Canis lupus familiaris: one gene and its partners. The protein of the gene in region 2 purifies or fractionates together with the protein of the main gene of each other region. This does not show direct contact. Links are inferred from orthologs where the notes say so. Each region holds a gene or a part of one and is shown on either strand. Other genes may lie near its edges.

The links.
Region 1: the proteins of COPG2 (region 2) and COPB2 fractionate together in Homo sapiens (co-fractionation; 4 studies listed by BioGRID and IntAct, with this or other methods). This does not show direct contact. The link is inferred for Canis lupus familiaris from reciprocal best matches to the Homo sapiens genes COPG2 and COPB2.
Region 3: the proteins of COPG2 (region 2) and COPE purify together in Homo sapiens (affinity purification with mass spectrometry; 5 studies listed by BioGRID and IntAct, with this or other methods). This does not show direct contact. The link is inferred for Canis lupus familiaris from reciprocal best matches to the Homo sapiens genes COPG2 and COPE.

The regions. Positions count from the first base shown.
Region 1 is NC_049244.1:36,083,786-36,087,285, forward strand, and holds part of COPB2 (coatomer subunit beta'), read right to left. Parts: intron 1,638-3,500; coding exon 1,491-1,637; intron 665-1,490; coding exon 565-664; intron 1-564. UniProt on the Homo sapiens protein: The coatomer is a cytosolic protein complex that binds to dilysine motifs and reversibly associates with Golgi non-clathrin-coated vesicles, which further mediate biosynthetic protein transport from the ER, via the Golgi up to the trans Golgi network.
Region 2 is NC_049235.1:6,238,136-6,241,635, reverse strand, and holds part of COPG2 (coatomer subunit gamma-2), read right to left. Parts: intron 3,444-3,500; coding exon 3,376-3,443; intron 1,290-3,375; coding exon 1,101-1,289; intron 1-1,100. UniProt on the Homo sapiens protein: The coatomer is a cytosolic protein complex that binds to dilysine motifs and reversibly associates with Golgi non-clathrin-coated vesicles, which further mediate biosynthetic protein transport from the ER, via the Golgi up to the trans Golgi network.
Region 3 is NC_049241.1:44,618,541-44,622,005, reverse strand, and holds the end of COPE (coatomer subunit epsilon), read right to left. Parts: exon of another isoform or gene 3,137-3,465; intron 2,912-3,136; exon of another isoform or gene 2,382-2,911; intron 2,083-2,381; coding exon 2,014-2,082; intron 924-2,013; coding exon 849-923; intron 762-848; exon of another isoform or gene 714-761; coding exon 666-713; 3' UTR 501-665; downstream 1-500. UniProt on the Homo sapiens protein: The coatomer is a cytosolic protein complex that binds to dilysine motifs and reversibly associates with Golgi non-clathrin-coated vesicles, which further mediate biosynthetic protein transport from the ER, via the Golgi up to the trans Golgi network.

The DNA.
Region 1 (3,500 bases), on a different chromosome or scaffold from region 2:
TATGGGGCAGATATGTCTGTTCTCATTTCATAATCTACTCAAACCACTATCTATGAAGTGGCAGCACCTGAATTTGATCCCAGGTTTTTAGACTCCAAAGTACTGACAGGCTTTTTCACAGTTTTTCTTTAGGACTTCTGGGCATCCTTTTACTTAAGTAAGAGAGCCAAAACACACTAGGAGGAGGAGGAGAGTGAAGACAACAATGTCCCTTCACTCTCCTAAAGCTCAAGTATTCTCTAATAAAAAACAGTGAAGTTATCAGAAACATCCAGTTACAATGCAGGGCACTACCTGGCTTAAACACGCACTTAGGGATCCCTGGGTGGCTCAGCAGTTTAGCGCCTGCCTTCAGCCCAGGGCCCTGGTCCTGGAGTCCTGGGATCAAGTCCCACATCAGGCTCCCCGCGTGGAGCCTGCTTCTCCCTCTACCTGTAACTTGGCCTCTCTCTCTGTCTCTCATGAATAAATAAAAAAATAAAATAAAATCTTAAAAAAAAAAAAAACAAAAACCATGCACTTAGTAATTATAAGCACAGGAACAAACGTACATTTCTAACTTACCGTCTTCTGAACCTGTGATGATGATTGGCAACTCAGGATGAAAACTGGCACAAGACACATTTTGAGCATGTCCCTCCAGTGTCTGTACACATGTCTTATTCTGTAATCAAGACACAGAAAAAAAAAAATATTTTAAATATATCTATTTTTTTAATGAAAAATAACTCATCCTTAATTTTTCCAGTGCACAGATACATAAGTGATAATGGTTGTGACAATTTAAATAGTTTTTATATATAGAAATTTTTGAAACACAATTATCTTATGTGCATATTTTTTTCTAATTCTTTGACAATATAGGGAAATGTAATTGCAACTATCACATTTAAAGAAGAGATCTGATTTTCATCTGAATATCCTCCGCCCCCCGCAACTTCTAAGATAATATCTTTAATATTTTTATTCTGTACTTAAACACAAATCTGAATAAGGTGCTGAGTAACACTGGCTTTCTAAGCCTCATTTTATTAATAACTGTTTATGGAAATTTTGATCTAAGAAACAGAAAATCTGTCTCTTAGAGATAAAAAGCATAGTAACAAGAAGTCGTAATTAGGTTTACAAAGCCTATGTGACAACTGGCTATACCATGGCTATGTCATAGTATTATTTGTTGATCTGCTAGTTTTCAAATATGAACAGAAGTCTACCAGTGAGGATACTAGAGGATGTAATACTTCATTTTAACCAAAATGATTATAATTTCTACTGTTGAATGAAAAGTAAACATAATGGCATTTTATTTTAAAATCTCGATAGGTATTTGTTTTCATTTTTATGGAGAACTCTGAGACCACTATTTAGATGCACATACTGAAGCATTATTACTATGAATGGAGTTCAATAATAAAGTTTTAAGCGTTCTGAAGAAAACAGTGAAATCCATGTCTAATATACAGCAAAGCAAGATTATGAAAAAACTGTACCTGATAGTCCCATATTTTAACAAGACGGTCATCTGCACCTGAAATGAGGTATGGTTTATCACCACCACTGTAGTAATCGATGCAATTCACGCCTTTCTCATGTCCTTCCAGAGTGAAGTTTGGTGAGGAAGAACCCAATTGCCAAACCTTTAGAGAGCAACAGCATCTGCCAGTCAATAAGAGGCCTTGCTTTTCAGAAGGCAGTTCCACCACACTTCTAATACATTAGATAAAGTGTCAAAGCCCAGGAGAGGAAAACTAAAAACTAAAGAATGTATGTATTTTTTTTCATCCATTTGTTTCCATTCTTTCTCACCTTACTTGAATTTCCAGGGGGGGCAGAATAACTACAGTGTTCTCTGAAAATGCCAATTTCCAGGCTTTATCCCTAGAGAGTTTTTCCCTATCCCTACAGATTCTTCAGGAATCTAGATTTTTTTTTTTTTAACAGATACCCCAGTAATCCACAGGCTGTGTCTGAAGAACAATTCTTTAAAGGTAAGATGTGGTTTTTATGAGAATTTCAATATAAAGATAGTAAAAGTGGATTTAATTTAGTAAGGTTTATTAAAAAGAGAAAATTACCACTTAACTAAAAAATTTAGAGTATGGAAAAGTAGTCAAACATTACCATAGCACTACTATTGAGCTTTATCTTTACAAATAATTACTGAGAGCCTCCTACATAAGTGGCCCTCTAGGAGGTATAAAAGATGCGTAAACAAATGTTTACCACTGAATACATTTAATAAACTTTGTTAGAACCAAAGATAAGACAGTTTATGTTCTCAAGATATACCTTTTATTGAAGAAAATTTGAAACTAATTTCTCAAAGTTTCCAACCTATGTCAAAAACAAGGACAATCCAGCAAAAGGGGGAAAAAGGTCAAAACCCTAAGATATTTGGACAGATATCATTTAATAATAAATTATCATCAAATAACATAATATTTTACCTAAGTTAAAGGAAAATTAATAAAAATGTTACGTAGATATAAACATACATGCACACATGAAAGCAAAAATTAATGCAATTATCATTTTAAATCTATGCATATAGAGATTTTAAATACTGTAATGGAAAAAGGAGTATGACTACTCTCATGCAACATGTATTAAGTGTCTGGTACAAGCAAAGCACTGTGTTGCTGGCTACTGAGTGTCTGTTTGAGGGAGTGGGGGTGATACCAGTTCCTACCCCAAACATCAACATTTTGGAGGATAAAGATTTCTGAAGACACATTAGTTATCATTCAAAATAAGGGCCATAATAGAAACAAAAAGGAATGGAAGGAATGGGATGAGCATGGCTGGCTCTGTCTGGGGATGTAATGGAAGTCTGAAGAGAGCCTCTCAGAGTAAATAACGGTGCTAAGCCTTGAAAGATGAGTAGTTCTCCAGAGGAAAAAAAGTCAAAAGGGAAAAATAAAGAGTATCATAAGTAGAGGTAACAGCTGAATAAAGTTCTCTAGAAAATGGTGGGTAGGTCAGGGTTATAGGAGATGTCTCATAATATTAGCTGTGGCTAGTCTGGAAACCCTTGTATTCCACATTAAGGTACTGGGACTTTATCCTTAGATTGGGAGCAGAAAGGTCAAACCCATGTTTTAGAAAGACTTGGCAGCAGTAGGGAGAAATAAGAAAAAGAGAATGGAGGCAGATGAAATTTTAAAGTAAAATAGATTAATACTCAGCTGAGGTCAACAACAAATACACTGAAAGGAAATAGGAAACAGAATACACGAAAAGGAGAAGAAATAGGAAATAAGAGATACTGGCATATTTCTTATTCTAGGTTTGCAATGGTTTACAAGTTTTATAATAGATTGCTTTGACATGGAAAAACACTCCTCCCACTGAGCACAAGTTGTCATAATATTTTTCTAAACAGAATTATGTCCCTCCGGACCAAAGTGAGAAGTTCCTATTTTGACTTCAATATGAGCTCTTGAGAGAAACTTCTAAGCAGGAATAATTTTCTGGCACAGCCAGGAACACAATACCTAAAA
Region 2 (3,500 bases):
GCAAGAAAAAGAAAGGGAAGGCATTTAGTTTGGAAATGAAGAAGCAAAACTGTCTCTATTCACAGATAACATGATTATTTACAGACAACCTTAAGGAATACATAACAACTACTGGAACCAATAAGGGTACTGAGCAATGATACCAAGTTATGACAAAGAGAAAAAAATATTTTTATATATTAAATATATTTATATTTTAATATTTAAATATTATATTTACATATATTATATATAATATATATGATAAAGCATATATGTATATGTATTTTTATATACTACTAGCAGACAATAAAATAGGAATTTTAATAGAGTAAAAAAGCATAAAATATTTAGATACAAATTTAACAAAAGATGTGCAAGACTGATATAGTAAATGCTATAAAACACTGCTCAGAGAAATTAAAGAAGACCTAAATAAAGGGAGAGGCATACCATATTCATGAACTGGAATACGATGTTACTGTTACGATGTCAGTTTTCCCCAGATTTATTTATGGATTCAACATAACCCCAAGAATAATCCTAGCAGACTTTGTTTCATAGAAATTATAAGCTGATCCTAAACTTTATTTGGAAATGTAAAGGACCTAGAATATTAAAAAAGGACAAAGTTGGAAAATCACATGGCTTGACATTTAAGAGATACCATAAGGCTACATTAATCAACACATTGTGGCATAGGATTGACAAATAGATCAACAGAATGTGATAAGGAACCCAGATATACCTACAATTACATAGTTATCTGCCTTTCAGACAAAGATGCCAAAGCACTGCAGTGGGGAAAAAGAAGTCTTTTTCAATAAATTATGCTGGAATGACTAGATATTAGTATGGAAAAAAACCTTGAACTTACCATACACAATATATAAATATTTAATTCAAATTGGGTCATAGACCAAAATGTAAAAGCTAAACCCATAAAACATTTAGAAAACATAAGAAAATATCTTTAAGGCTTGGAAGTAGACAAAGGCAATATAACAGTGAAAGAAAGAAATTAATAAATTAGACTTTAACACTTTTGCTCATCAAAAGATACTGTTAAGAAACAGGCAAGCCAGAGACTGGGAGAAACATGATCATATTTAAACTTTTACCTTGAACTCATCTGAGATTTCAGAAACAAAAGAAGATATCTGCTTCATAAGCCTGTCCACACTGCTCTCACTCCCTGTTTTGAGGAGTGTAGTAATGGCCAGGGTAGCGATGCTTCTGTTTGAGTCTGTGATCAAGTTTTCTAAGTCCAGATTGCAGGCAGTGACAGCAGAGGGGTGCTTCATTGCCACCTTGTGGAAGGGCAAGAAAAATAAATTAAGCAAATTGCTACTAATGAAGACCAGAACTTTAAAAAACAAAGGAAGAGGAAAACAGATATTTTAATCAAGGTAAGTGGCTTTTAAAAATCTAAATGGGGAACCCTGGGTGGCGCAGGAACCCTGGGTGGCGCAGCGGTTCAGTGCCTGCCGTTGGCCCAGGGCGCGATCCTAGAGACCCGGGATCGAATCCCACGTTGGGCTCCCGGTGCATGGAGCCTGCTTCTCCCTCTGCCTATGTCTCTGCCTCTTTCTCTCTCTCTGTGTGACTATCATAAATAAAAATTTAAAAAAAATTATAAAAAAAAAATCTAAATAGGTCAAAAGTAATTGTTTTAAGAAGAACATTTTCAATTAATAAGGCATAATATATCACTTGACAAACACCTGCCAGAGTCATAGTGTAACATAGCACTTTCTCTTCCTAGGTCTCTAGTTTTCTATAATTTTTGTAATAATACCACAGCCTGTATTTTATTGCAGTTGACCTGTTTTTGTTTATAATACATGTGTACATGGATATATACGCTACTAGATGTAAGGATCTACTAGATGTAAGGATCTACCATGGTAAACACTGCTCAAAGACTGTTAATATCTTATCACTTAGAAAACACTTCTGTATTTAAACAAACTCCAGCCAAACTGGATTGCTCACACTCCCTAAAACATGTCTCATTCTCCTGCTTCTTTGCTTTTGTCGAAATTGTTCACCTCTCTGTCTCAATATTGGTATAGAATCCTTTACCCACGATTTAAAAAATTTGAAAACTCAGCAAAGTATTGGCATCAAAACTCATTTAACAGGAAAATCTGACCCAAAATAATATAAAATGAGTTAAATCTTAATTTATTCCACTTAGTGAGGATAGTCATATGTATAACAAAGAAATATTAATGTCTTAAAAAATATTAATGTGCCTTATGGTAGGGGACTGCTCTAGGCTCAATGGAGTTAATATATAAGAGACAGCACCATATTGCCTTCCCAAAATTCATAAAGTACTGAATTCTGAGACACATCTGTCCTTAAGATTATAGCTAAAGGCATGTGGACCTATATCACCTCTTAAAAGTATAACTCAAATTCTGTGAAGGTTCTTCTTTGGTTTTCCAGTAAAGATGCAATTAATTTGTAATAGATCACATACTGCCTTATGACAAGTCTTCTTCTACATTAAACTTTCATTTCAAATGTTTATGGTTCTTTGATTCATTCTATGTTTCTGAACTGTATCCTCTAAACCTGTGGCATCCAATATAGTAGCCAATAGTTAAATGTGACTACTAAGCACTTGGTATCTGGCTAGTCCAAATTAAGATACGCTCTAAACATGAAATAAGCACTGGATGTCACAGACTTAGTATGAAAAAACGTAAGGCAATATAGATCTTTAATAATTTTACACTGATTCCATGTTGACAAGACATTTTATATATATGAAGGTAAATAAAATATATTATTAAAATTAATTTCATCTTTAAAAAATTTTTTTAAAGATTTATTTATTTATTCATGATAGACACAGAGAACAAGAGAGGCAGAGACTCAGGCAGAGACACAGAGGGAGAAGTTACTGTGGTTACTATAAAATTTAAAATTACAAATGTGACTCACATTGTGTTGCACCAGCACTGTCCAAGAGAACTTTCTACAGTGATAGAAATGTTCTATATTTTTTCACTGACCAATATGGCAGTCACTAACCACATGATTACTGAGCAGATGGAGTATGACTAGAGTGACTGAGGAGCTAAATTATCAGGGTTTTTAAATTTTTAATTAATCTAAATGGAAATGGCCACTCATGGCTGATGGCTATCCTATTGGACAATGTGGTTTTCAGCCATAAAGTGCTTGAAAGTCAGAAATGAATTATAATCTTTAGTTGAATGGTAAAAGTAGCCATACATAAGGCCACAAATACAAGGAAGGTGCTCTAGAAGTGAAGACCATAAATCCTACCTTTCTATCTTGGGGAGAAAGTCAAATGCTTCACATGTAATGTTTCTCAATCAAACATTGATATAAGTCAGTAGTTGGCAAAGGGACACCTACCTTGTTCAAGGTCCTCACAGCTGCATATCTCAAAGCTGGCTTAGGAGAGCTACAGAAAAGCTGAAGAACTAGAAAGAAAAAAGATCTTTGTGAATAAAGCTCATTTCATCATATTGCATATATCT
Region 3 (3,465 bases), on a different chromosome or scaffold from region 2:
GGGTACCACCCTCTCTCCAGACAACAGATGCCAGCTACTGCCCTGGCTTTCTCTTATGGAAGGGCACTCACCATGGGTTCCTCTCTCCAGGTAGAGAGCTGAGTGCCTCGGCCACAACAACCAGGAGCAGGGGATGGTCGGATGGGGTGGGGTGGGGGTGCATGTGTTCCTTGCACACATGTGACTCAACTGAGAGGCCTGAGTACTTCCTACCTCCCTTGCCACCCCAGGATACTGGTTTTGAGTCCTGATGCTCCTCATGATGGCTGTCACTATCTCAGTTTCTCTGGATGTCAAGTGGACTTGGGAGACATAGCAGTGCCGCCGTAGCTCAGCATCATGGGGCAGCTGTTTCCGGGGTGGGGAGTCTGTGCAGCTCCTGTTCACAGGCCCTGGTCTCCAAGGCTTCCCTCCCAGGAAAAGCCCTGGGGGACAGTGCCTGGGACCCTCCCTTCTGAGTCGTGGTTCACACATGTCCCTCCCAGAGTGGCAGACATGGATCAGGTGGAGATATTTATTGACAGAAGGGGCCCTGGTCAGGCTGAGCCTCGAGCCTTCACCTCTAGCCAGAGCAACCAAGAGCACAAGAGGATGGGTGCCTGGCAGTGGGGGCAGCATGCCCAGCCTCGCTGTTCCCGGGCTTGGGAACCAGCCTGCAGCCGGCCTCAGGCGCTGGGAGCATACTGCAGCACCAGCCGGTCAAAGTCGTTCTCCTGCAATGTGGATTGGGGACAGTGGGAGCAGAAAGAGAAACAGAGAACGTGAGTCAAGACCTCAGTCACAGGCCTTCCCTGGCCCCGCCTATGGGGGGTCTGGGGATGTGGGACAGATCGCCAGCTCAGGCTCACCTTGGCCTGGTACTCCTTGATAAAGGGGTGGGACCTGTGTGCGTCCTTCAGCTGGGACAGGTAGCGGTTTGTCACCTGCAAGGGAAATGAGGCCAGAGGCCAGGTTAGTTGAATAGGGGGCACCCAGGTGGCTTGCACATGCAGAGCGAGAGGAGGGGTGAAGTGAGGGCTGCCCAGATGACCCTGGTCTCCCAAGCAAGGGCCCTGGTCTCCCATCACGTCCATCACCCCACTGTGAAATCAGGCTGATGACAGAGGACCCCCAGGGCTGGGGAGGGAAGAGGGGGCACCTGGCACAGAGCCCATGCTAGTGCACGGTTGGAGGATGCATCACCGGATTCAGGGGAGTAGGCTGGGAGGGACCTTAGGAGAGGACTAGGACTAGGAGGAGCAGAGGGCAGGTCAGGGGGAAGAGAGTTGGGAGGGGAGGTGAATTTGTTCTGGGCACACTATACAGAGAAACCCCAGAGATCTCAGTATTAGAACCTGGACCCCAGGAAGAGCCCTTGCTCCCAGCTCCCCTCACCTCCCCAGGCCCAGCTCAGACTCAGGGGGTGGGGCACCTGTCTCCCTGAGACTAGGGGTCCAGTGCTATTTCTGGGGTGAGTGGGACAGCTGTCCTGTCTATGCTGTTCTGCCCCAGCCCTGAAGCTGCCGGGGGGGGGGGGGGGGGCTTCTATAAGGGATGGGTGACCGACTGTCAGGAAGTCCTGGGGTCGGTCCTTGGCCAACTGTGCCAGTCAGTCACCTACAGAGAGCGGTGCCCCAGAGTTCTCCCTCCCTCCCCACCCTTAGACAACATGGGCTCACAGAGATTGCTCCCCTGGGCCCCTTTTCTCTCCACCAAGAGATGGCACAGATGGGGATCCCAGCTCAGCTGGCCCTCTGAGACACAGCTCATAGTTCATAGGGCCCATGGAGCAGCTGGCCTACAGCCTGGGCCAGGGTGGGGCCCTAGAGGATCACCTGCAACACCAACTTCCCAGGGCCCCTCGCGCCAATGCAACTGCACTCACCACCACCACCACCCCTGCCCCCAAAAGGAATGCGTTTCCGCTCAAGATGCTGAGCTTCATCTGGGGCTGGAGCCGTATCACAGACCCCTGCCCACCACACGCTGGCACCCTGAGGGCCAGAACACTTCCCCTGCACCAGGGGACCCTACCTCGGGTGGCTTGCCCAGGTGCTGTGACAGGACGATGAGGTTGATCAGTGTCTCTGGGTGGCCACTGTCCTGGAAACACAGGGAACACCAGGCGAGCAGGGTCAGCTCCCCTAGGCCCCCGACTTGGCCTGCCCATCCCCATCTCAGGTGGGAAAATGCCTCCCACTGACCCAAGGTGAAGACATGACCCATACAAGGTCATACCCTCAGAGGTGGAGCAGGTGGGGGCTGCAAGACCCAAAACGTGCCTACTGGCCATTCTGCGAGGTGGTGACCTCAGGACCCTCCTTTCTACCTAAGTGACGAGGGGGCCCCAGCCCAGCCCCAACCCCAACCCACCTTCTGACTACCTTTCTTTTCCCCAACAGCTGCTTCCCCTCTAAGCCCAGTGTCTCATCTGCGGACCAGGATGCAAAAGAGCCCCCTTGCTTGCTGTGATTTGGGAGGGGTGTATTTATTATACCAACCTCAAAGTAACAGAGCCCAACCCAAGATGGCCTGAATACCATCGCTGGCAAGCTGTCCCTCTTGCTGCAAAAATGAGGTCTGAGACCACAGGGCAGACCCCGCCTGCCCCTCCTGCTCTCCAGGGGCCTTGACAAGAAACTGCTGGGAAATTACCAGAACATCCAAGCGGATGACCTCACTCTACCCACCCACACAGGGCTCTGAAGCAGGGACACTGCAGGGAGCCCTAACTGGGCACCTGGAGCAGAGAACAGCAACCCAGACTCGTGGTGTTGCAGGTTCAAGGAGCTGTATGGACCCCAGCCTCCTGCCCAGACCCAGCTCCATGCCAGGGCTGCCCTTCTCTGGGGAAACTCAACTTCTCTCCACCTTAGTCTCCTCAGCTGTTGTCATAGGGCACAGTGGCATGTACTCACAGAAGCAAAACGAGGTGAACACAAAAAGGAATGGGAAGGACAGTGAAAAGCATGGGGTGGCACGCAGGCACCAGGATGAATGAGGCCACGGCATGCCTCAGGCTGCCGGGGGGGGGGGGGGGGGGCATGGCGTGGCAGGGACAGGGCCACAGGGCAGCAAGCCAGCCCAGGTGGTGTCTCAGAGAATGAGGACAGATGGGTGTTATTTAACTGGGGACCCCACTGCCCTCTCCTTCTAGGGCAGAGACACCCCACCAGGCCAGGCTTTCCTGACCAGCCCTGCAGGCATACAGCAGTCCAGTTGAGTCAGACCCTGTCAAGGAGGCATGGTGGCTGCCTGGCAGGGCAAGGCAGCTCCAAGTAAGCAGCCTGAGGAGCACCTGACTAATGGCCCTGGCCCGCCCCTGATCTGCAAACAAACTTCTGATGGTAACTCGACCCCTCACAGAGATACAGGGAGAAAGCTTCCTACTGGTGTCTGTTTCTCATTGTATCAAGAAATGTTTTCCAAAGATGGAAAGAAACTTTGACATGTCCTCTGATTATAAAAATAACACACAAGACCTCA